Saccharomyces cerevisiae S288C: one gene and its partners. The gene in region 1 interacts genetically with each later gene. Each region holds a gene or a part of one and is shown in the gene's direction. Other genes may lie near its edges.

Region 1 (8,418 bases):
AGGGCGAGGAAATTTTATCAAATCCTTCAACCTTCGAATTAGTCATGACTTCAAATGTATCCTGGAGATAGGTTCAAGTAGAGATTTAGGTTGGTGTCCCATAGTGAATAAAAAGACTCACAAAAAATGTGGCTCTCCCATTAACATATCTCTTCATAAGTGTTGCGATTACCATAGAGAAGTGCAATTTCGTGGAACAAGTGCTAAAAGAATTGAATTAAATGGTGGGTACGCCTTGGGCGCGCCTACGAAAGTGGACTCTCAACCAAGCCTATATAAGGCCAAAGGGGAAAACGGGTTTAATATAATCAAAGGTACTCGTAAGCGCCTGTCAGAAGAGGAGGAAAGACTTAAAAAGAGCTCTCACAATTTTACGAATAGTAATTCTGCCAAAGCATTTTTCGACGAGAAATTTCAGAATCCAGATATGCTGGCAAACTTAGACAATAAAAGAAGGAAAATAATAGAAACTAAGAAATCGACAGCACTGAGCCGCGAACTAGGCAAAATTATGAGAAGGAGGGAATCCAGCGGATTAGAAGATAAGAGCGTCGGAGAGCGACAGAAAATGAAACGAACCACAGAAAGTGCCCTCCAGACAGGGCTTATCCAACGCCTAGGATTCGATCCCACTCATGGAAAAATTTCCCAAGTACTCAAGTCTTCTGTATCAGGGAGCGAACCTAAGAACAACTTACTCGGTAAAAAAAAAACTGTTATAAACGATCTCTTGCATTACAAGAAGGAAAAAGTCATTCTCGCACCTTCAAAGAACGAATGGTTCAAGAAAAGAAGCCATCGCGAAGAAGTTTGGCAAAAACATTTCGGATCCAAGGAAACTAAAGAAACTTCTGACGGTAGTGCCAGCGATCTTGAGATAATATAAATAAGTATTGGTGTGCTTTTCAGGGCCCCAAAATGGTATTACTTTTGATGGACAATGGCGCGGGTAATGATTGAAAAATTATGATGAAAAATTGAGTGATTTTGGTTGCAATATAGGGAATCAATCCTTAAAGTGAGAAAGAACAGAAGAGAACATCTTGTGAGACACAAAACGCTCCGAAAACATCTCCCTCTTGGGCGCATCCTTCATTCTGTACTCTTTACTTCACTTTACAGTCGTTTTTGGCCGATCTTTGGCAGCATCTAACGTTATTTTTAGGTTCAATACATAACAACAAGACCACGGATATCGCATAATATGGTTGACCTAATGGTGCCGGCGAATGATGACCCTAGTAATGAAACTGATTATTCTAGATCCAACAACAACCACACTCATATTGTGAGCGATATGCGCCCGACCTCCGCCGCATTTCTTCATCAAAAGCGACATAGTTCTTCGTCGCACAATGATACACCAGAGTCGTCGTTCGCTAAAAGAAGGGTGCCTGGAATTGTAGATCCCGTAGGGAAAGGATTTATAGATGGAATAACTAATAGCCAGATCTCTGCACAAAACACACCCTCCAAAACTGATGATGCATCTAGAAGACCGAGCATCTCTCGCAAAGTTATGGAATCGACACCACAAGTTAAGACCAGTTCTATTCCAACAATGGATGTTCCTAAATCTCCATATTATGTGAATAGAACTATGCTTGCTCGAAATATGAAGGTTGTTTCTAGAGACACTTATGAAGATAACGCAAATCCACAAATGAGAGCTGACGAGCCATTAGTCGCTTCAAATGGTATTTATAGCAATTCGCAACCCCAAAGCCAAGTAACTTTATCCGATATTAGAAGAGCTCCTGTAGTTGCTGCTTCACCCCCGCCGATGATAAGGCAACTTCCTTCGGCGCAGCCAAATCAGACGTTTATTAAAAAACTGCAGGAAATTTATAAAATCATAGTGGTGCAGGAAACCGAGTTACAACAAAGATGCCTTTATTTAACCACCTCTCAAACCACAGAACTAAAAAGTTTGTGGGCAATATACAGACTGAACACAGAACTGATCAAAAATTACATCAATTTCATCATCACTGCATTATTAACTACACAACCTATAAACGACTTGATTATGGGCCAAGAAATTTTGGATATTTACAGAATAGAAAAAAGATTGTGGGTTTATGGTATAATAACCTTCTTGGATGTACTAAAGAACTTTTCGAACTTTATGGACCCAGAGGTATGTTGTCAGTTTATTATATACGCTTTCATCTCTGTCTCAAATATGCTTGAGGATATACCGTTGAAATATTCTATTTTGTGGAGACAAAGATTGGGTGATTTGTCTAGAATGGCAATATCGCTGTACCCATCAGGATTCATAGATTGGAGGCTAAGCGCCGAATATTGGTATACCGAATCAATGAAATACATATATGGGTGCGGAAAACTATATTATCATATTGCCACAGTTCAACAGAACAGTTTAGAAGCGTTCGTAAACTTGGGAAAAAGTGTTTTTTGTCAGGATCCCTTCACTCCGTCTCAGCAAACGTTACAGTTATTGATTGAAAATATCTATCAATCTGCATTCATAGATAGAAGTTCTGGTAGTGCGAACAATAATGAAATTGCCCATAGAAATTCTCAATTAATTGATTATTTAAAGCATACTGAAGTAATGCTATTACCTAGTTTCCTGGAGAATATGGATTTACAGCATGTTGTGCTTATGTACTTCAAAGACAAGTTTGGTAAAGATTTTAACGGAAATGACGTTTTCGATACAAAAGACATGTTTTGCCAAAATCCAGAATCATTGCGTTATTATTTTAGGCATGCCCCTGCATTTGCTGAATCTCAGCTTTTACAGCTAATCGGATTTGGCAATCCTAAAAACCCATTTGCATTATTGTTTCAGTTGCCTAAGTATTTGAAATTAAAGAAGGATAAAAGAGAAAAAAAGAGATCCGAAGCAACAGAAACATCTTCCTATACAGATCCATTCGATGTTCAAATAAGTTCAGAAAGCTACTTCCAGAATATCGATGCTTTAAATTCAAGTTTCAATGATATCCCAACCAATCTCAATATTTGGCTGGATTCTTTGAATCATATCAACATGACGTCAATACAATGCAGTATACATGTATTAACAAAATTTCTTCATGCACCATTAGTGGTTGCCTTACCGCACTTTTTGACGTGGTTACATTTTATAGTTGCTATTTTGAAAAAATTAGAAATGGTAAATTCAAAGCAAGTAGTAGCATTCTGGATACATTTTTTAAGAAGGACAATGCCTTGGAATTCAATAGTGACCTTAGGTAATGTATTAGTTTGTTACATGCTGGATAATTTACACCCTTTTTTGAAAAAAGAATTGGAAAAGTTTTATTCATTGGAACTGGATGATTTGATCGAATATTATAACGAAAATGAAAATCTTCCGGAGATTTGGAAATGTTGGGGAACATTGTGGTTTGACGCTATCAAGAAGTGCGATGTAATGGAAATTCCTGGCGTTCAAGACCATCTTTTTTTCGATTCTCCCCTTGATGGTATAGTCTTTGATGAAAAAGATGAAGTTGGTGAAAAATTCTGGATGCGCAGTGTGAGAGCAGTTTTACTTTTGAAAGGTATTGCCAAGAAATTTCCCGATTTGGGGTTGAAAGTAAGCTTTCAAGCTTCTGTGTTTTGTCGTCGAAATGACATACCTCCAGATTATTTCCTAAAGAATTTGACCTTTAAGCTAGATGCATATGACGAAGATAATTATAACGACAACAACGAATTAGATGATCTATATGACACAATTGAAATAAATGAAGAAATCGAGGCTGTTAACATGGACCCACAAGCCACACCGAATTTGAGCGTCGTTTCTGGTGAAAGTATTTTCGAATATACTGGTTATACGAGATTGGCACCAGATTATCATTGTTTTGATAAAAACGGCGGGTTCAACAGTGCATTTATCTACAGCCAATGGTCCAATGTTGGTAATGGTGTAACACTGGATGTAAGCGGCGAATCTATATACGATGTTGCCAACAACAACTTGAGCCTGCATTGGGAGAAAATATTCTTCGATAAAATTGCCGCCGCATCTAAAGGCAGTGACGAAAACTACAATTGTACGCTTTATTTTGTCATCGATGCTACCTCATGGTTAAGACACTTTGCACATATTTTCAAACTAGCCAAAAACAATACTCTTAAATTTGCGATTTGTCTGACCACATTTCAAGAACTACGTTATCTAAGAGGATCGAAAGACGATACTGTCGTCGAAGCAGCAACAAGGTCGGTAATTACTATTCGCCAGTTGTACGATGAAAAGAAAATTATTCCTATGAGATTCACGGGGAATATTGCAACACATGTTGAAGAAAATCTGGAGTTCGAAGAGCAAATTACTTGGAAGACGCACGTCGATGAATTTGTTATTGATGCTATCGCCAAACTGAACCAAAGGTTTCAAGCTGAAAGATTGACTGATGAAAACAAGAACAAAGGCAAGGAGTTTGCAGTGCTGGTAACGGATGATGATAATATGAACCAAAAAGCGAAGGACAGAATGATAAAAACGTGCAATACAAAGTATTTATTTTCGTTAGGTAGCAAGCTTGGTATTAATAGTGGATTATGTACCAACTAATATGTATATATACATATATATGATCACATATATATTTCTGTGCATTTTTTTTTTTTTTTTGAACACTCCATTCTACAATTACTTTTCATATAAATTTCCAATGCAGGTACCATTTTATATTGTTACACAAGGTTAGAAAAGATCTTGAATCGATCACTAACGAGGCACTAGGGTCATTAACCTTGTTCTGTAGCCATTCTGCGTTAATTTTTGGCGCTCTGCTATGCAATATTATTGTTTGGTCCTTCGGAAGTTTGATGAGTAACTCGTTTGAGGACAGTATGGTTGCTTGAGAGAAATCGCGAATAATTGTGTCAAACTTTGGTTTATGCGTCTGGATTATGGCATCCAGGTCCTTCACGGAGCTATGCAGTTGAGAAACAAGTTTAGAGTCAGTGTTGTAGAATGTTTGCGGCTGCTTTTCCTGTTTCTTTAGAGAACTATTACTTGCGGAGCTCGTCCACTGCGACTCCTGAACCAACTGTCGCAGGGGAGGCGTAGAGTTTTGTGATCGGATATTCTGGCGCTGCTGCTGCTGCTGCTGCTGCTTATGATGTTCTTGTTTCAGAACTAGCAATGAAATGGGCATATGATTACCGTCATGTTGCACGTTCGGTTGCACACTTGATTTCGATAGTATTTCTGAGAAACTGTTGGTGCTTTGTTGTTTTAAAGGGTGATGAGGTCGCCTGGTTGGAGACCAGGATATAGAGCTTAGGGACTGCCCCGGGGGGTGTTGTTGTTGCTGCTTCTGATCCTGATATATTACCAGGCCCCTTCTCTTGTGACTCATTTGCTTACACTGTGGCGACTTTTTCCACTTCTTTGTTTATTTGTATTACCGCTTCCTTTTCCTTTTTTCATCTGATTATATGCTTATATATTGTAGACGCAAGTAAAAAAGAACGAAAATAGAAGTCATAATGCTTGTCATACACATTTATATGTTTAATTAATATTATCTACGTAGTCTATCTCTTGAAAAAGAAGTCTGGTTCCGGTGCGACTGGTTTTGATGGCTTAGTAAATAGTTGATATTGTTACCTGACGGCGGAACGCCTGGGGGAGGCATTGACGTGGACGTTGGGAATCGTGTTGAAGTCTGTTCTCGACCGGGCGATCCTGCGTTAGCCTGTTCTATACTCTCTTCCTCCTTTTCTTCAAAGACTGGAAGATCAGTGCCGTTTTGAATGTTGACCCAGGGAAAGAAGCCTGTGCCGAACCAGAAATGTTGCACCACGGGGAACTTCTTCAGAACCTCTACAGAATACATTTTTAGAAGCCCCTTACACACTTTGGACCAGCGTGGAACGGTGACGGCAATATCGTATAGGATGGGGGAATGCTCTTCAAAGGGCCCCATTTTCACCTCATTAATAAAGTTTATGCCTTGGCAGTAGAAGTTGGTGTCCTTATACTCGCGCACCAGAGACTTATCCAGTATTTCTCTTGGTTGCAAGGGTGCTTGCGCATCAAGCAGCTGCCATTGAGACGAGCCCAAGATGTACACCAAGTGGAAATGGTCATCAAGCCCCCACACGCCATGTGACCCAGCGGGCTCCAGCGTATACGTCAGGATCAGCCTCCTCATGATCGTGTAGTACTTGTTGAACAGCAGAAAAACGTCTGCCCCCCTCATGTGCGGAAACATCCCCAGCATGTCCAGTGCTGCGACCGTGGCCATGAACGAAAGTTCGTGGCCCGTGCCGTAGTCCAATCTTGTCGACGAACCAAAGCTGTTGCCCAGGTAATACTGCAATTCAGGCACCACCTCATGGTATTCCGAGGGAAGCATTTCCTGCAGCCACTGAGGCAAACGTTCATCCAGCTTGTGATGCCACTCGCGGCATGCTAGGTTACCATACCTTCTAGGACCTGGAAGAGGCGGTGTCTCGTCGATCAGGTGTGCCAGCTTGTCCAACACTCCCATCAGCCCGTTAACCATGGCGATCGACGACGCAGTAGCGTGCGGGTCGGGGTCAGAACAGTGCGATATCAACGTAGTGTACTTGTGAAGATGATACTTGATTCTGTGAATGGCTAGTGACGATTGGAAGTCCAGCGTTGTCTGCGTATCGAAGATACGCTTCACCGGCGTAGAGAAGGTGGCGTGCGGCCAATCTACACGATCCAGAGACATTTCTTTGCTCGTTTAATGCTTGTTCATATGTGCGTTCTTTTGCACTTTGCACTTTCTTCCTATTTTATCTTTTTAAGAAAGCTTTAAAGGTCCGGAAAAAAGGCTTGATCAAACACAAGAGACTATGGAAAGGGTGAGTACCAAAAGAACCAACAAGAGAAACAACCAAGTACGCAATGCAGAAGAGCATATTGCTGACTAAACCTGACGGAACACAATCGAATCTACACAGCATCAAAACGGAAACGCCCACCACGGTGGAGTTCGACTCGGAGCAGATGGAAAGGGGCCACAGGGAAAGAGGTCGTAGCAAGAAGAAAAGAGGCGAACGAGACTCAAACGTGAGCAGTCTGTCGCGGTCGAGAAGCAGGGCCAGTAGCCGCAGCAGAGTAAGGGAGGAAGAGTTCCTCAAGTGGACCGTGTTGAGGCAGGACCCCTCGATGCGGTTGAGGGTCGTGGATGTGGATTCTGAAGAGGAAGGTGAGGGCAACGACGAAGATGACGACGACGGCGACGGCGACGATATGGACGAGGAAGAGTCCGATGAAGAGCAAGTGAGCGATATAGAGAACGATTTAGAGATTGACGAGGAGTTCCACTACGATCTGGGCATGAAAGTGTTACCCAACTTTTGTACCAGCATAAACGAAGTGCTAGACTCCAGCAAGCCCTGGATAGCCAAGTACGAGATCAGCATCCGTGGCCACGAAAACGAAGACGTGTCTCTGGAGCAACTCGACGGAGGCTACGTCAGAGCCATGCAACTACTCACCAAGGGTGCCGGCGCAGAGGCCGGGAACCAAAGGTCCTTCATCCTCTACACGGACCTGAGCAGCGAGTCCACCTACGCCCTGACCTATCTCATGGGCGCAGCTGTCAACCAGGGAGACACCGTCTACATTGTCCACTGGGAGCCCTCGAAGCCCACGGACGACTCCCAGATGTTCGCCAACGTTGCCAGAATCAGAAAGCACGTCATGCACCTGTTTGACTGCGTCGCGGGCGTGCTCGACGACCTCGACGTCGTCGTCCTCTCCTTGACCCATCCGTACCCAAAACACCTCCTCAACGAGATGATCCACGGCCTCAAGCCAGTCGCCCTGTGCTGCTCCCTCTCGGTCATCCTGTCCACTCTGCAGAACTTCGTCTGCTCTGTGCCCATCCTCGCGGTTAGAAAGAAGCTGAAACGTGCCAAGCGCAAGGGCATCAGCGAGTGACCAATAATCACTGCACTAATTCCTTTTTAGCAACACATACTTATATACAGCAACAGACCTTATGTCTTTTCTCTGCTCCGATACGTTATCCACCCAACTTTATTTCAGTTTTGGCAGGGGAAATTTCACAACCCCGCACGCTAAAAATCGTATTTAAACTTAAAAGAGAACAGCCACAAATAGGGAACTTTGGTCTAAAGCAAGGACTCTCCCTCCCTTATCTTGACCGTGCTATTGCCATCACTGCTACAAGACTAAATACGTACTAATATATGTTTTCGGTAACGAGAAGAAGAGCTGCCGGTGCAGCTGCTGCCATGGCCACAGCCACGGGGACGCTGTACTGGATGACTAGCCAAGGTGATAGGCCGTTAGTGCACAATGACCCGAGCTACATGGTGCAATTCCCCACCGCCGCTCCACCGCAGGTCTCTAGACGAGACCTGCTGGACCGTCTGGCCAAGACGCATCAATTCGACGTGTTGATCATCGGTGGCGGG
Region 2 (6,669 bases), on another chromosome or scaffold:
ATAACCTTCAGGACCTAAGAAACCCAACGCTTCTATAACATCTTCCAACAGTATTGTCATTCCGGAGCCTCTCTCCTCGCCTACTCCTGGATGCCTTATATTCACTATATGGACATGAAAATGGTAATATGAAGGTTGATAATGAATGAAAACTCTTAGCTCGTCCGGGTTTACATTATAGTCATAGTGCTGGGGGATGATGGTCTTAATCTTCTTATTGAGTCTAATTAACCAATCTCTATGGTTTGGGTTCAAATCTCTCAAAGATTTGATGTCGTCCCTGTACACGATCGCGACCAGGTATAACGAATCAATGTTGATTCCGTCCCACTTCATATCGGGCAAGATGACGAATCCATCCTCTTTATTCCTGCTACTGTATTCCTTATAAACAACTCTATCATCCTCGGCGCCCTCGTAAAGAATGTTGTTTACCCATTTCATTCTTTCGCTGGTACACATCTCTTGGATAAAGGGCACAACTATGTTTCTATACATATCAGGAGTTTCTCTGACGACATGTAAATCCTGCTGGTCGTATCCCTTGATGTGGAACTGCGAGGCGGGCCAAATTAAGTTAACCTTCGCAGTTGGGTTATGCAAAATATGCTGCTTCAAAACAGACAACCCCCAGTAGTAGATGTCATTCGAAGTTAATTCCTTCAGATCAGTAATACCGTTTAAAAAGGAGTACTCGTCTATTTCACGATGAAAGAAAATCGGAGTGCTACGGCCACTTTGAGAGGGTCTACGTACCGTTTCATCAAATATGAAATGCGTCTTTTCAGCAGTTAACACGGCATCCTTCCCATCTATGCTGCCTAGTAGTGAGATTACCTTTGTATGAGGGTTCGAATCTAACACCCTGACGTATTTAAACCTCCCAATTAAACTAGCTAAATCTTGGGAACCCATCATGTATTTTTTTACTTTTACACGCTCAAATCTTTTCAATTTTGCAATGAAAAGGTACCGACCTAACATATATTTGAAGACCAAACGAAACCCCCGTGCTTCTGTTTCTCTTCTTTCTGCCTTTATACTCATTGGTATTGTCACCCCTTATTTCCCCCCTAGGCGTCTGCGCGGCCGCTGTCATGGGGCTGTCCTTTCGGACTAGCATATAATCACTGACGCTAGCTCTAATCGATCAATAATTAAGTGGAAGTATTTTGTTGAGGTGGGTGATTATTATGGGGAAGATTTTTGACAATCGAATGAACACTTTAACAGCTTTTGGAGGCTAGAGTGCCAGTAAGCTCCATACTTCTTTGGAGTTGATTTCTTTTTCTTGCAGAATAGGTTGGACAAAGTACATCCATCAGAACAATTGCAGGTGCCTTTTGTTCACGCAATTACTGGCTTTTCCTTGTTTGTTTGGTCAAGAAGTTAGTGTTTAGCTTTTTCCCTTCATTTTTTTATTTTTCTTATTTTATAGATGCTTAAATGTCATTTTTGTCTTACTAATCATTAAATAGTTGGTCCGAAAGATAGGTCCAAGCGCAAGTCCAAGCCAATGGCTTGCTCTCGACTGTCTTCCATTACAATATGCAAGTTTTCTATCTAGCTGCTGTCGCAAGCATGTTTTTTTGTAAAAGAACTTCTCCTCTACTGCGTATCAAATAAATATTTATAATCTGGCTGACTCATTAGTTCCTCCCAGCCAAGGTTGTACGCCGTCCAAAATTCGTTGGATATTGTCTGTGCCAGTTCAGTCTCAATTGGCCCAGTTTCATTGTTATGCGAAGCGTTTTCGCTGTTATTTCGCACTTCCTCCGGGGGTAATCCTGGAGAATTTCCCGCCAATGGACTGGCGCTTGTGACGCCCAGGTCACTTAAACTGGGATCGATTGGAGTATTTACATTGTCAGTGAGCGAATAGGACCCATTCAATTCGTCTTGGAGTTGTTGTAACCATGTGTTTTCGACCTCGGTTCTATATTTGATTACTTTTTCCAAAACAGCTCTATATATGCTTTCCAGGGCGATGTTGATAACAAATGTATAAGAGCGAGCCATAATAATTCTTAACTGCTTGTTGTTATCATTAGACCATTTAGCAAATATATCTGAATGTATTTTGAAAGCAGTAAGTAAGTTCATAGCTTTATCCAACGGGATATTCAAGGTTGACAAATCCCAATCTGTGACTTCTTGATCTTTGATGTTGGATGATAGATAATAGCCCTTCTCAAAAAGAGTTAACTTATGATACAAAAACGCACAAAAGCCAGTAGAGGCCCTAGGAAAAAGGAAATTTGTGTATACTAAAGACAAGGCCATAAATGGCGGTAAATGAACGCAATTATGATCAAAAAACTCAGGAAAATGCTTCTCATCTAGGTTAAAACACAGTATGGTCGTATTGATGACAAGGGAAAAAGAGACCAAAATGGTTTGCAGGATGTTGTTCTCTAAAACAACGCTTTTTTCCTTGTAAATCAAATACCTCAAGGAATAAAACGTCAACAACAAATTCAAAACCTGCGCAAGCACTTTAATCTCGCACAAAGGAACTTTAGATATTAACTCACTGTCAGTGTAATATGATATTGGGTGGAATTCAGTCTCTACAAAGTTTCTTAGTTTTTTACAATTTTCGGCTAAGTCTGGAAATGCGCTTCTATCATAAATTTGATCTAGCATTGGTCGAGCTAATCTTAAAAACCTTTTAAGCTTGCCCATGCAGGAATTTGACTGATCGAAAAAAACCGTCGATGAATAATTGTTTGTATTTTTAGGCAACCTCTCACCATTCTCGCATTCATCGACTTGAAAATAGGATGAGTTAATCGCCAAACATCTCCCAATATTTAAAGAAACATTGAAATCTGATAATATAATCCAAACCCACAAATTTTCCAAACTTTCCATACTCCCCACAATATTTTCTTGATTTTTGTATATTTCTCTTATATTCAAGTGTAAACCCAGCATAATTGCCGTGCTGCATAATAAGTCAACTAGACTAATCATATGCGAATCGTCTCCACACGCCCAAATTAGTTCTCGATGATAGTATTTCAATAAGAGAAATTGAGCGCGTTCAATGAAATATACTTTAGCTGTTGACAGTCCCGTCAGCATGATGAGAAATTTCTCTATCTCTTCCGGAGTATTTTTGTAGAAATGGCGAATACACAGTATCATCAAAATAACTCCAATCTTATAATAGTTTTTCTTTGTCGATGGTAATAACTTTTCAATCCGCCTTTCACCGTTGGGTAACAGTTCGTCACTTGGAAGAAACGAGGAAGTGAAATCGTTTATTATTTTGGTTTTATCTAATACTTCACTAACTTCATTAGTTTCCAGTTCAGTATTGAAAAAGTCTGTTATAATCTTTGACGATTGTTCAAAAGATGGCAAAACGTTACAAACCTGTTGCAAGATGTCAGAGCCTGTCTTTTCTAACGGCGGTCCCTCTAGGAGTTGAGTTTCTGGCTTCATTGTCCATTTATGCCTAGCCTTCCATCTGTTTCTCTCGATTTTCACTTTGGACCAGAGCTGATTATACGTGTTTACAAACCGATTATCATCGTTTGAGAGATGCGTTCTCAAAGATGTAGGACCATATACTATTCTTCTTCCCGAGCCTTTACATTGTAAATAGTAAAAATTAGCGTAAGGGTTCCTAAATGGGCTCGTACTAAGCGCTACATCCTTCTCCGTCAACTCTTTGTCATCTAGTCTTTTCTCTAAATCCTCAATCCTTTTCAACAGTTCAATGTTCGGAGTACTGCCAAATAACTCTTTTGTTTCTATTTTGTGGGTGAATTTCTCTGTATACAGGCAACCAGAACGACCCCTCGTCTTACAAGTTGAGCACATTGGCTTCTGCTGGTCGCAACGTAATTTCCTTTTCCTACAAAAAGCGCATGACTTTATTGGTTTCCGTCTCTTCTGCGCCTTCTTTACAGTTTCCTCCGATGGGGAAGCTCTATCCTGTAAACTACCCCGCTTACTCATTAACAACTCCCTTTACCAGGACCATTCAATGTGCTTTCCCCTCTGACTTTCTATACTCTTGCCGTTATTATTACAATACCACCTGGCATTTGTCATTTTATCGCCTTGTAAACCATGGGTGTCACCCTACTGCCGAGCCTGAAAAAAACGTGCTGCAAGGGTCTTGAAGCAAAAAGATGATTTAACGGAAGAAAGGCATACAAGAAGGTGAAAATTCGTGTTTAACCCATCTGATACTTTCCCTTGTCTAACGTACTGATCCTGGAGGTTATCAAGAACACAAAAGTCTAGCAGCGAAAAGTACGCGAAGAATCTACTATAGATAATGGTGGTGCAGAAAAAACTTAGGGCTATCTTGACCGATGAAGGTGTATTGATCAAATCGCAATCACACCATATGTTCAATAAGCATGGTCAACTCAGAAGCGGAGATTCTTTATCCTTGTTGAGCTGCTTGTCCTGTCTGGATGATGGAACTTTGAGCTCTGATGGAGGTTCTTTTGATGAGGATGATTCCCTGGAACTGTTGCCTCTTAATACTACCATTCCGTTCAACAGAATTTTGAACGCAAAATATGTGAATGTCGGTCAGAAAGGCTTCAATAATGGCAAAATTTCTTCGAATCCTTTTCAAACGGAAAATCTGAGTTCTTCGTCTGAAAATGACGACGTTGAGAATCATAGTTTGAGCAATGATAAGGCTCCTGTAAGCGAATCACAGTCATTTCCCAAAAAAGACAAGTGGGATACAAAAACGAACACTGTGAAGGTGTCTCCCGATGATTCACAGGATAACTCACCATCTTTAGGGATAAAAGATAATCAACAGTTAATTGAGTTAACTTTTGCTGTACCCAAGGGCCATGATGTTATACCACAAAAATTAACCTTGTTAATAGATCACGTTTCTAGGAAATCGAGAGCAAATACCGGAGAGGAGAACATTTCTTCTGGTACTGTGGAAGAAATCCTGGAAAAAAGTTATGAAAATTCCAAGAGAAACAGATCGATATTAGTCATTATTAATCCCCACGGTGGTAAAGGTACTGCTAAAAATTTATTCCTGACAAAAGCAAGGCCAATACTAGTGGAAAGTGGCTGCAAAATAGAAATTGCATACACAAAATATGCCCGTCACGCCATCGATATTGCCAAAGATTTAGATATCAGCAAATACGATACCATTGCATGTGCCTCGGGTGATGGTATTCCATACGAAGTAATTAATGGGCTTTATAGAAGACCCGACAGAGTGGATGCGTTCAATAAACTAGCCGTAACTCAGCTACCTTGCGGTTCAGGAAATGCTATGAGCATTTCATGTCATTGGACAAATAACCCATCGTACGCCGCTCTGTGCCTTGTCAAATCCATTGAAACAAGAATAGACTTAATGTGTTGTTCCCAACCTTCTTATATGAACGAATGGCCAAGATTATCCTTTTTGAGTCAGACGTACGGCGTTATTGCAGAATCTGATATTAACACTGAATTCATCAGATGGATGGGTCCCGTTAGGTTTAATTTGGGTGTAGCATTCAACATTATCCAAGGTAAGAAATATCCCTGCGAAGTTTTCGTCAAATATGCTGCCAAATCTAAAAAGGAATTAAAAGTTCATTTCTTAGAAAATAAAGATAAAAACAAAGGATGTTTAACCTTCGAACCAAATCCTAGCCCAAACTCTTCGCCGGATTTACTATCTAAAAACAATATCAACAACAGTACAAAAGATGAACTTTCACCGAATTTTCTCAACGAGGACAACTTTAAATTAAAGTATCCGATGACGGAACCAGTACCTAGAGACTGGGAGAAAATGGATTCAGAGCTAACTGATAACTTAACAATCTTTTACACAGGGAAAATGCCGTATATTGCTAAGGACACCAAATTTTTTCCCGCTGCTTTACCAGCGGATGGTACCATTGATTTAGTCATAACGGATGCAAGAATCCCAGTGACAAGAATGACACCAATTTTATTATCCTTGGATAAAGGTTCTCATGTATTAGAGCCAGAAGTTATTCACTCAAAAATATTGGCTTATAAGATTATACCAAAAGTGGAGTCAGGTTTATTTTCAGTGGATGGTGAAAAGTTTCCTTTGGAACCCTTGCAAGTGGAAATAATGCCCATGTTATGCAAGACGTTGCTAAGGAATGGTAGATATATCGATACAGAGTTTGAATCCATGTAGATTAACGTTATATTTTCCTTCAAAAATGATTTTTTTGTAAAAAGAAATACTACATCGAAAAGAAAAGGCGATATAATGTTTCTATCATCGGAGTATGGTTTATATTCCATTTTTGTTTTCATTATAATTATACATCCCCAGTTATATATCATTAATACGTAACAATATTATGAGTTGGTCTTTATTATCTAATATAATTAAAAAATTTACACTATTACATCATTTTCAACCAATAGGATATATATATAAATATATACATATATGCACATTAAATCATTCACTTGGAAGTTGCGTCCTTCAAGCTAACTATTCTATTCAAAATAACCTTAGAAGTCGTACTCTCTTTATCCAGAGTGAAATAACCTACTCTCATAGCTTGGAATCTACACACTTCTTTGGAATCCTTATCTTCTTCAACATAAAATTCCGAGTTTTTAACAGAATCAACGACCCATGGACTGTTCTTGACAACGTCCCCGAAGTTATGTTCCATGACAGAT
Region 3 (5,593 bases), on another chromosome or scaffold:
TCCTGTATCAATTGAATTTGAAGAATTATGTAAAGGAGGTATAATAAATAGATAAAAAAATGTATAAATAAGTGGTCGAAATAATTAAATCATCATTGTCATTGAGATCATAAAATCGGTCTGCTAAAGAACCTTGAATTATTTAACCCACTCTCTTGGTTTGGTGGTAACTTCTAGTAATTTAGCTTCTCTGGAACCAGGAGCAGGGTGGTGGTTGTATAACCATGAAGCATGTTCAGGCAAACTCATCAAAATTGACTCAACTCTAGAGCCTGGGGTTCTCAAACCGAATTGGGTACCTCTATCGTAGATTAAGTTGAATTCAACGTATCTACCACGTCTAATGGCCTGCCATTGTTGTTCTTCCTTTGTATATGGCATATCTTTTCTTCTCTTGACGATAGTCAAGTAGGATGGCAAGAAAGCATCGAAACAGTCTTCAACCATCTTCAATATTTCTTGTGGGTCACGTTCATCATAATCGTCAAAGAATATACCACCAATACCACGTGTTTCCTTACGGTGGGTAATGTAGAAGTACTCATCACACCATTTCTTGAAACGTGGGTACAAAGCAGTGTCGTGCTTGTCCAAGGCATCCTTGTGCAGTTGGTGGAATAATTGACCGTCTTCTTCGTATAAGTAAGAAGGTGTCAAATCAGCACCACCACCAAACCACCAAGTTTGTGGGGTCCCATCTTGGTTCCAAGTTTCGAAGTAACGGTAGTTTAAGTGCGTGGTTGGAGCGTGTGGGTTAACGGGATGAATGACCATACTTAAACCACAAGCGAAGAACTTGACACCGTCGGTAACTGGCAAACCAGTCTTTGGATCTTCTGGTAGACGCAGATTCTTATGATCAGCTTTCATGGCTGAAACGGCCGCTGGGCTCAATTGACCATAAACAACGGAGACATTAACACCACCTTTTTCGAAAGTTGTACCGTCTTGGATAACCATAGAGGTACCACCACCACCATCGTTACCACGGGTCCAAGTATCAGCGTGGAACTTAACAGTATCGATGGATTCCAAACCTTGCGTGATTTCAGCTTGTTTGCGACGGATAAGAGCTTCCATTTGTTGTCTAATTGGAAGATTCCTTGGATCTTGAGGGGCAGGCATCTTTATGTGTATTTAATTGTGTTCGAAGAGTTCGGTTTGCTATGTTTGATTTGCGAAAAGAAAGCTTTTGATATGCTCAAAAAAAGAAAACCCGGAGAATAAAAGCTTAACAAAGAAAGACAATAGGTGGAAAAAAAAAGGAAAATCCGTGTCCTTATATAGCCTTTCGAAACGAGAACAATGGGCAAAGCAAGCTTTATCTTCGGATCGTCCGTCAGCGCTTTGGTTGCAGTCTTATGCTTTGTTCAAGCTGGAGCGTTATTGGTGGGAGAACCAGAAAAGGCGAAAGCGTAGCGTTCTTTGAAATTTGGCTTCTGTTCCTGCGACTCGTTTAAAAGTAGAAGGGCCCGCGGAGCCGCTGTGAAAGATTTCTTTTACTCTTTCAGCGCAGAAATCTCGCAGGAGCTCAGCAGAAAGTGCCTATGACGGTAATCCCAGGGGCTAATGGTGTGAAGGCACTTTCTAAACAATTGAAATTAAAATACCGTGCCTATAGTAACTTTTTTTTACGCTGTGAACCGTTCAACACACAGTAAAAACTCCGCAGGAAATGGTTTGAAGAATCTTAATCACGAATTAGGCGTATTGTTTTTCCCAACAGTGAACGAGAGGACAAACTCCAGAGGATTTGCGGGCTTGATGATAAAATGTATTGTTGAAAAGATCGCGAATGCAACAATTACGGTGGGGAGAAATATCAACAAAAGGGCAAGGCTATGCCTTCTGGAAAGTGGCAGACTTGCACTTTCCTCGAAAAGAAAAATGACCGCAAGATCCGGTTGTTCTCAACCTTCTACATTAAGACATACTTCTACGATTTTCGAATGCCGAAGCAACTATCGCTGAAATTTGTCATGTCAAAATTGCTACTGGGGGAGAAGAATATATATGGAAGTAATTATTATTTACGTTGCTGAAATGGCAGGTTAGACGCATGTTTTGCAAAATAAGTGGTTTTGAAAAGAATTGATACTAGGAATCGGTGCAATACCTTCTACCTTTCTTAATAGGTATTCTTGAATAATCTACCTCACTTTCTGTCCCAGATACGAGATGTCGAGCGCCTCGAAAATAGATATCGTTTATTACGTTAGATACGGAAAGGTCTACGTGTCATAATAAATTGCATCTGGATTGCGATTTTGGGTCATGCCTAACTGGGAAAATATTTACATCTCCATGTTCTCATTCTGCCTTTGCTTTCCTTCAAAACATGGTTTTCAATTCAACCTAGGGTCTACCGCGGAACCATATGTACGCCGTAAATGCGAGTGTTCTTGAAAGGTAGTAATGTGTTCCCTCTCAATATGTAAGTCCTTCAAGAGTATGCACTTGCAGTTGCACTGTTTCGGGTAATTATCCGTCATTAAGAAAAAGATGCTTCCACTTTCTCGTGTTTTTACGCACAATCGTGCCATTTAACCGGAAATAGACTCCATTGCATTGATTGCTCTCATAAAAATTATAGCCCGCGTTTGATACTTGTTTAAAATAGGTGTCGACAAAGTTAGTTTCTGTCTTCCATTTAGTTTTTACAATATGACACGTCAAATAAATCTTTTCGATTTAGTTAAAAGAGTTACCTGGCGATAGCCTTCTGGTAAAACACCTATTCATAAAACAATCTTAAAAAACCAAAAAATTACCAAACAACTATGTAGGACATATTTTTACAGTTCATAAAAACGCTTCGAGCTGCCGATATCGGTATCAAACACCAAAATATACATAGTGCTGGTTTAAGCCAGAATATCTTGGTGAAGCTGCGCCTATATGCCTTGTATTTAAAACAAGTCACGAAAAGCTATTGCCAAAGGAACATAAAAACTCGTATCTATGTTATATTATAAAAAAGATATAATATTTATATATTATTATTAATATTATTTTTTAGTTCCGAAAGGAGAAACTTATAATTTTTATATCATTATTTATTATTATTTTTAATTTCAACTCCTTTTATACCTATTACTGCATGTGGAGAAAAGATTAAACCAGGCGAGGCAATTTACACTTATTCATTGAGATAAGATGAAAGAGCCACGCCTCGTTACATTTAGGCTACATCATATAACAACTAGTCCCAGCCTCCCCCCTTCCCCACCTTGGAGTACTTTTCTCCAGAAATAGAAAGCTAAGAATCAAAATCGCACCATTACGTATGAGCTCATTTGCCGTCTTTTCCCCGACAATCCGGCACAAAATCTGGCTACCCGTCGTATGTATGGTAGACGATATTATGTACTCTAGTAATGCTATGTACGAATAGTTTCAGACGGGCACAGGGACCTAGAACGCCAAGCGCAAAAAAAAGCTGATAGGAATTCGACGTCACGAACCCTTGGAGTAAAAGAAAACTAAAATATACGAACTTCGCGGAAAATAAAAAACTTTTCCTTCAGTTGTTCCTCGTTCGAAACAGTAATCTACACGGACCGTTGCTTATTTTTAGCCAGATTCTAGTTAAATAAAAAAAAAAGAAATAAAATTAAAAAAAAATTAAACTGTGGCAGATAAGCCTTTCTAATCGAGGCAGTGTGTTTCTTTTGACTTCACCGTTTGTCTTCGCATAGTTCCCCTAAATATTCTAACTAGAAAAATCGCTAGTATTTTTCTACTTATAAGTTGATTTTCCGCATATTTGTCTTTGAAACGTTTGAGACAGGGAAAACTCTGTTTTCTAAAAGAGGAAAAAGCAAAATGAAGTATTGGCTTGGTTGCGGTCAACACCCTCAGGGAAAGCCAAGAAATGCTTTTTACTGTTTAGCAGTGAAAAGGCCGCACCGGAAAAGAAGGGAAAAATTCATTGGGTCTAGATTTTTCTTATCGGTAAAAGACTATGGCCTCTTGAGGACCCTTAAGCGTGAAACGAAACGCGTTGAGCGCGCAGAGGGGCTTCGCCGCCGGTCAGGGTGTTTGGGGTGTTTTTTCTTTTAATTATTCTCTTGGCAGTGTCATCTTTCTACAGTCTGGCTGCAGGCTCCTTTTCCGTTATTCATATATAAGGAAGAGAACTTTCCAAACCCAAATTAAAAAAAATTTGGTTCCCATCTCTTAACTAAAAGAAATTATATTACTCCACCTCGTTTACAGTTTTTTGATGCTATAAGGGAATTCTGCAGCTTTTGAAAGTAAAAATCATATCGTATACGATTCTGCAAAGTATTATTGTACTGTAATTCCTACCATTACGGCGCCTTTTTCTACCATTCACCTTTCTTGGATTGTTCCTCTCGACCAGCATATTACTACCCTTCGCAAACTTTCAGGCAATGTTTTACCCATATAACTATAGTAACCTCAATGTTTCTACTATGCCCGCACTGCCGGGAATCTCCGCATTTGATGGAATGCAAGATGAAGAAAACGTTGAAATAAGCCCGGAAAGAAAATATCAGACGCTACTACCAGTTCTAACTAATTCTCATGTGGTAGAGAATGAACTAAAACACAAATTAAATAAGACTGCTTTTGATTTCCGATACCAAACCAAATCAGAAAATGGCTCTGAAAAGTGGGAGCCAAAATACTTAATAACGCCTAATTTACAAACAAGAAGCGTCTCTTTTGACAATTCATCGGTACAATATAATTCAGATTCATCCGAAAAAAGCTCGCTATCACAACTAACTTGTAATTCATCAATAATACAACAGCCTGAGAACGGAATAGTTTCTAATGATGCATATAATAAGATGGCAAATAGTAGATACTCTCTGAAAACGCGGAAGCAAAGAACAGATCCAAGAAATACGTTATCAGATGAGGAAGACCTTGAACAAAGGCGCAAATACATTTGCAAAATTTGCGCAAGAGGATTCACTACATCGGGTCATTTAGCAAGGCATAATAGAATTCATACGGGCGAAAAAAATCATTGTTGTCCGTATAAGGGATGCACGCAGCGATTCAGTCGACATGATAATTGCTTGCAACACTATAGAACACATTTGAAAAAGGGACAATAATTGACGGTATACCCGTGTTTTTCTCATTAGCAGTACTACTATTCCGCACTTTACATCATTTTTTATAAACTCATGCATACATACATTGTACTTCAAAAGATTTTTTTTTTTTTTTGGCATCATAAATCACTTTCAGATCAGTTTCCTTTCAAACGCGCGGCATTAAGAAAACTTTTAATGTCAAAAAAACGGAAGCAAAAACCCCTCCCTTCCGCTTAAGATCATGTCTGGACATTTTAGTTGTAAGGCTGCGCCTCGGTAGCAAGTAGTGCTGCAACAAGGCTATTATGCCACCTAAACAGACCACTTTTGCTTAATACGAGACTGTGACTACCTCCTGACTTCCTGTCATAACAAAAAAACAGACGTCGCTGCATTAACATTTACAACCCCAAACCTTCTTCATTCATTGCTTTTCTTTTAGAAACTGTGGCTTTTTGACATTTGCAGTTTGCATAGTTACTTTTTGATCACTAACAACGATATATTATCGTTGAACA

What was found.
Region 2: mutations in IMP21 (region 1) and LCB4 together harm fitness more than expected from each alone (negative genetic interaction), as found in Saccharomyces cerevisiae (2 studies listed by BioGRID).
Region 3: of IMP21 (region 1) and NRG1, a mutation in one rescues a mutant of the other (synthetic rescue), as found in Saccharomyces cerevisiae (one study listed by BioGRID).

What each region holds. Positions count from the first base shown.
Region 1 is NC_001141.2:53,481-61,898, reverse strand, and holds IMP21 (Imp21p), read left to right. Parts: upstream 1-6,877; coding exon 6,878-7,918; downstream 7,919-8,418. Other genes in the region: MCM10 (Mcm10p), read left to right, coding at 1-886; ESL1 (Esl1p), read left to right, coding at 1,205-4,561; VPR1 (Vpr1p), read right to left, coding at 4,647-5,354; peptidylprolyl isomerase RRD1, read right to left, coding at 5,520-6,701; GUT2 (glycerol-3-phosphate dehydrogenase), read left to right, coding at 8,191-8,418. UniProt on the Saccharomyces cerevisiae protein: Controls the nucleo-mitochondrial dependence of galactose, maltose and raffinose utilization. Becomes essential in the absence of functioning mitochondria.
Region 2 is NC_001147.6:651,510-658,178, reverse strand, and holds LCB4 (sphinganine kinase LCB4), read left to right. Parts: upstream 1-4,294; coding exon 4,295-6,169; downstream 6,170-6,669. Other genes in the region: DCS2 (5'-(N(7)-methyl 5'-triphosphoguanosine)-(mRNA) diphosphatase), read right to left, coding at 1-915; YRM1 (Yrm1p), read right to left, coding at 1,609-3,969; GLN4 (glutamine--tRNA ligase), read right to left, coding at 6,447-6,669.
Region 3 is NC_001136.10:542,174-547,766, reverse strand, and holds NRG1 (transcriptional regulator NRG1), read left to right. Parts: upstream 1-4,397; coding exon 4,398-5,093; downstream 5,094-5,593. Other genes in the region: HEM13 (coproporphyrinogen oxidase), read right to left, coding at 139-1,125. UniProt on the Saccharomyces cerevisiae protein: Transcriptional repressor involved in regulation of glucose repression. Binds to UAS-1 in the STA1 promoter.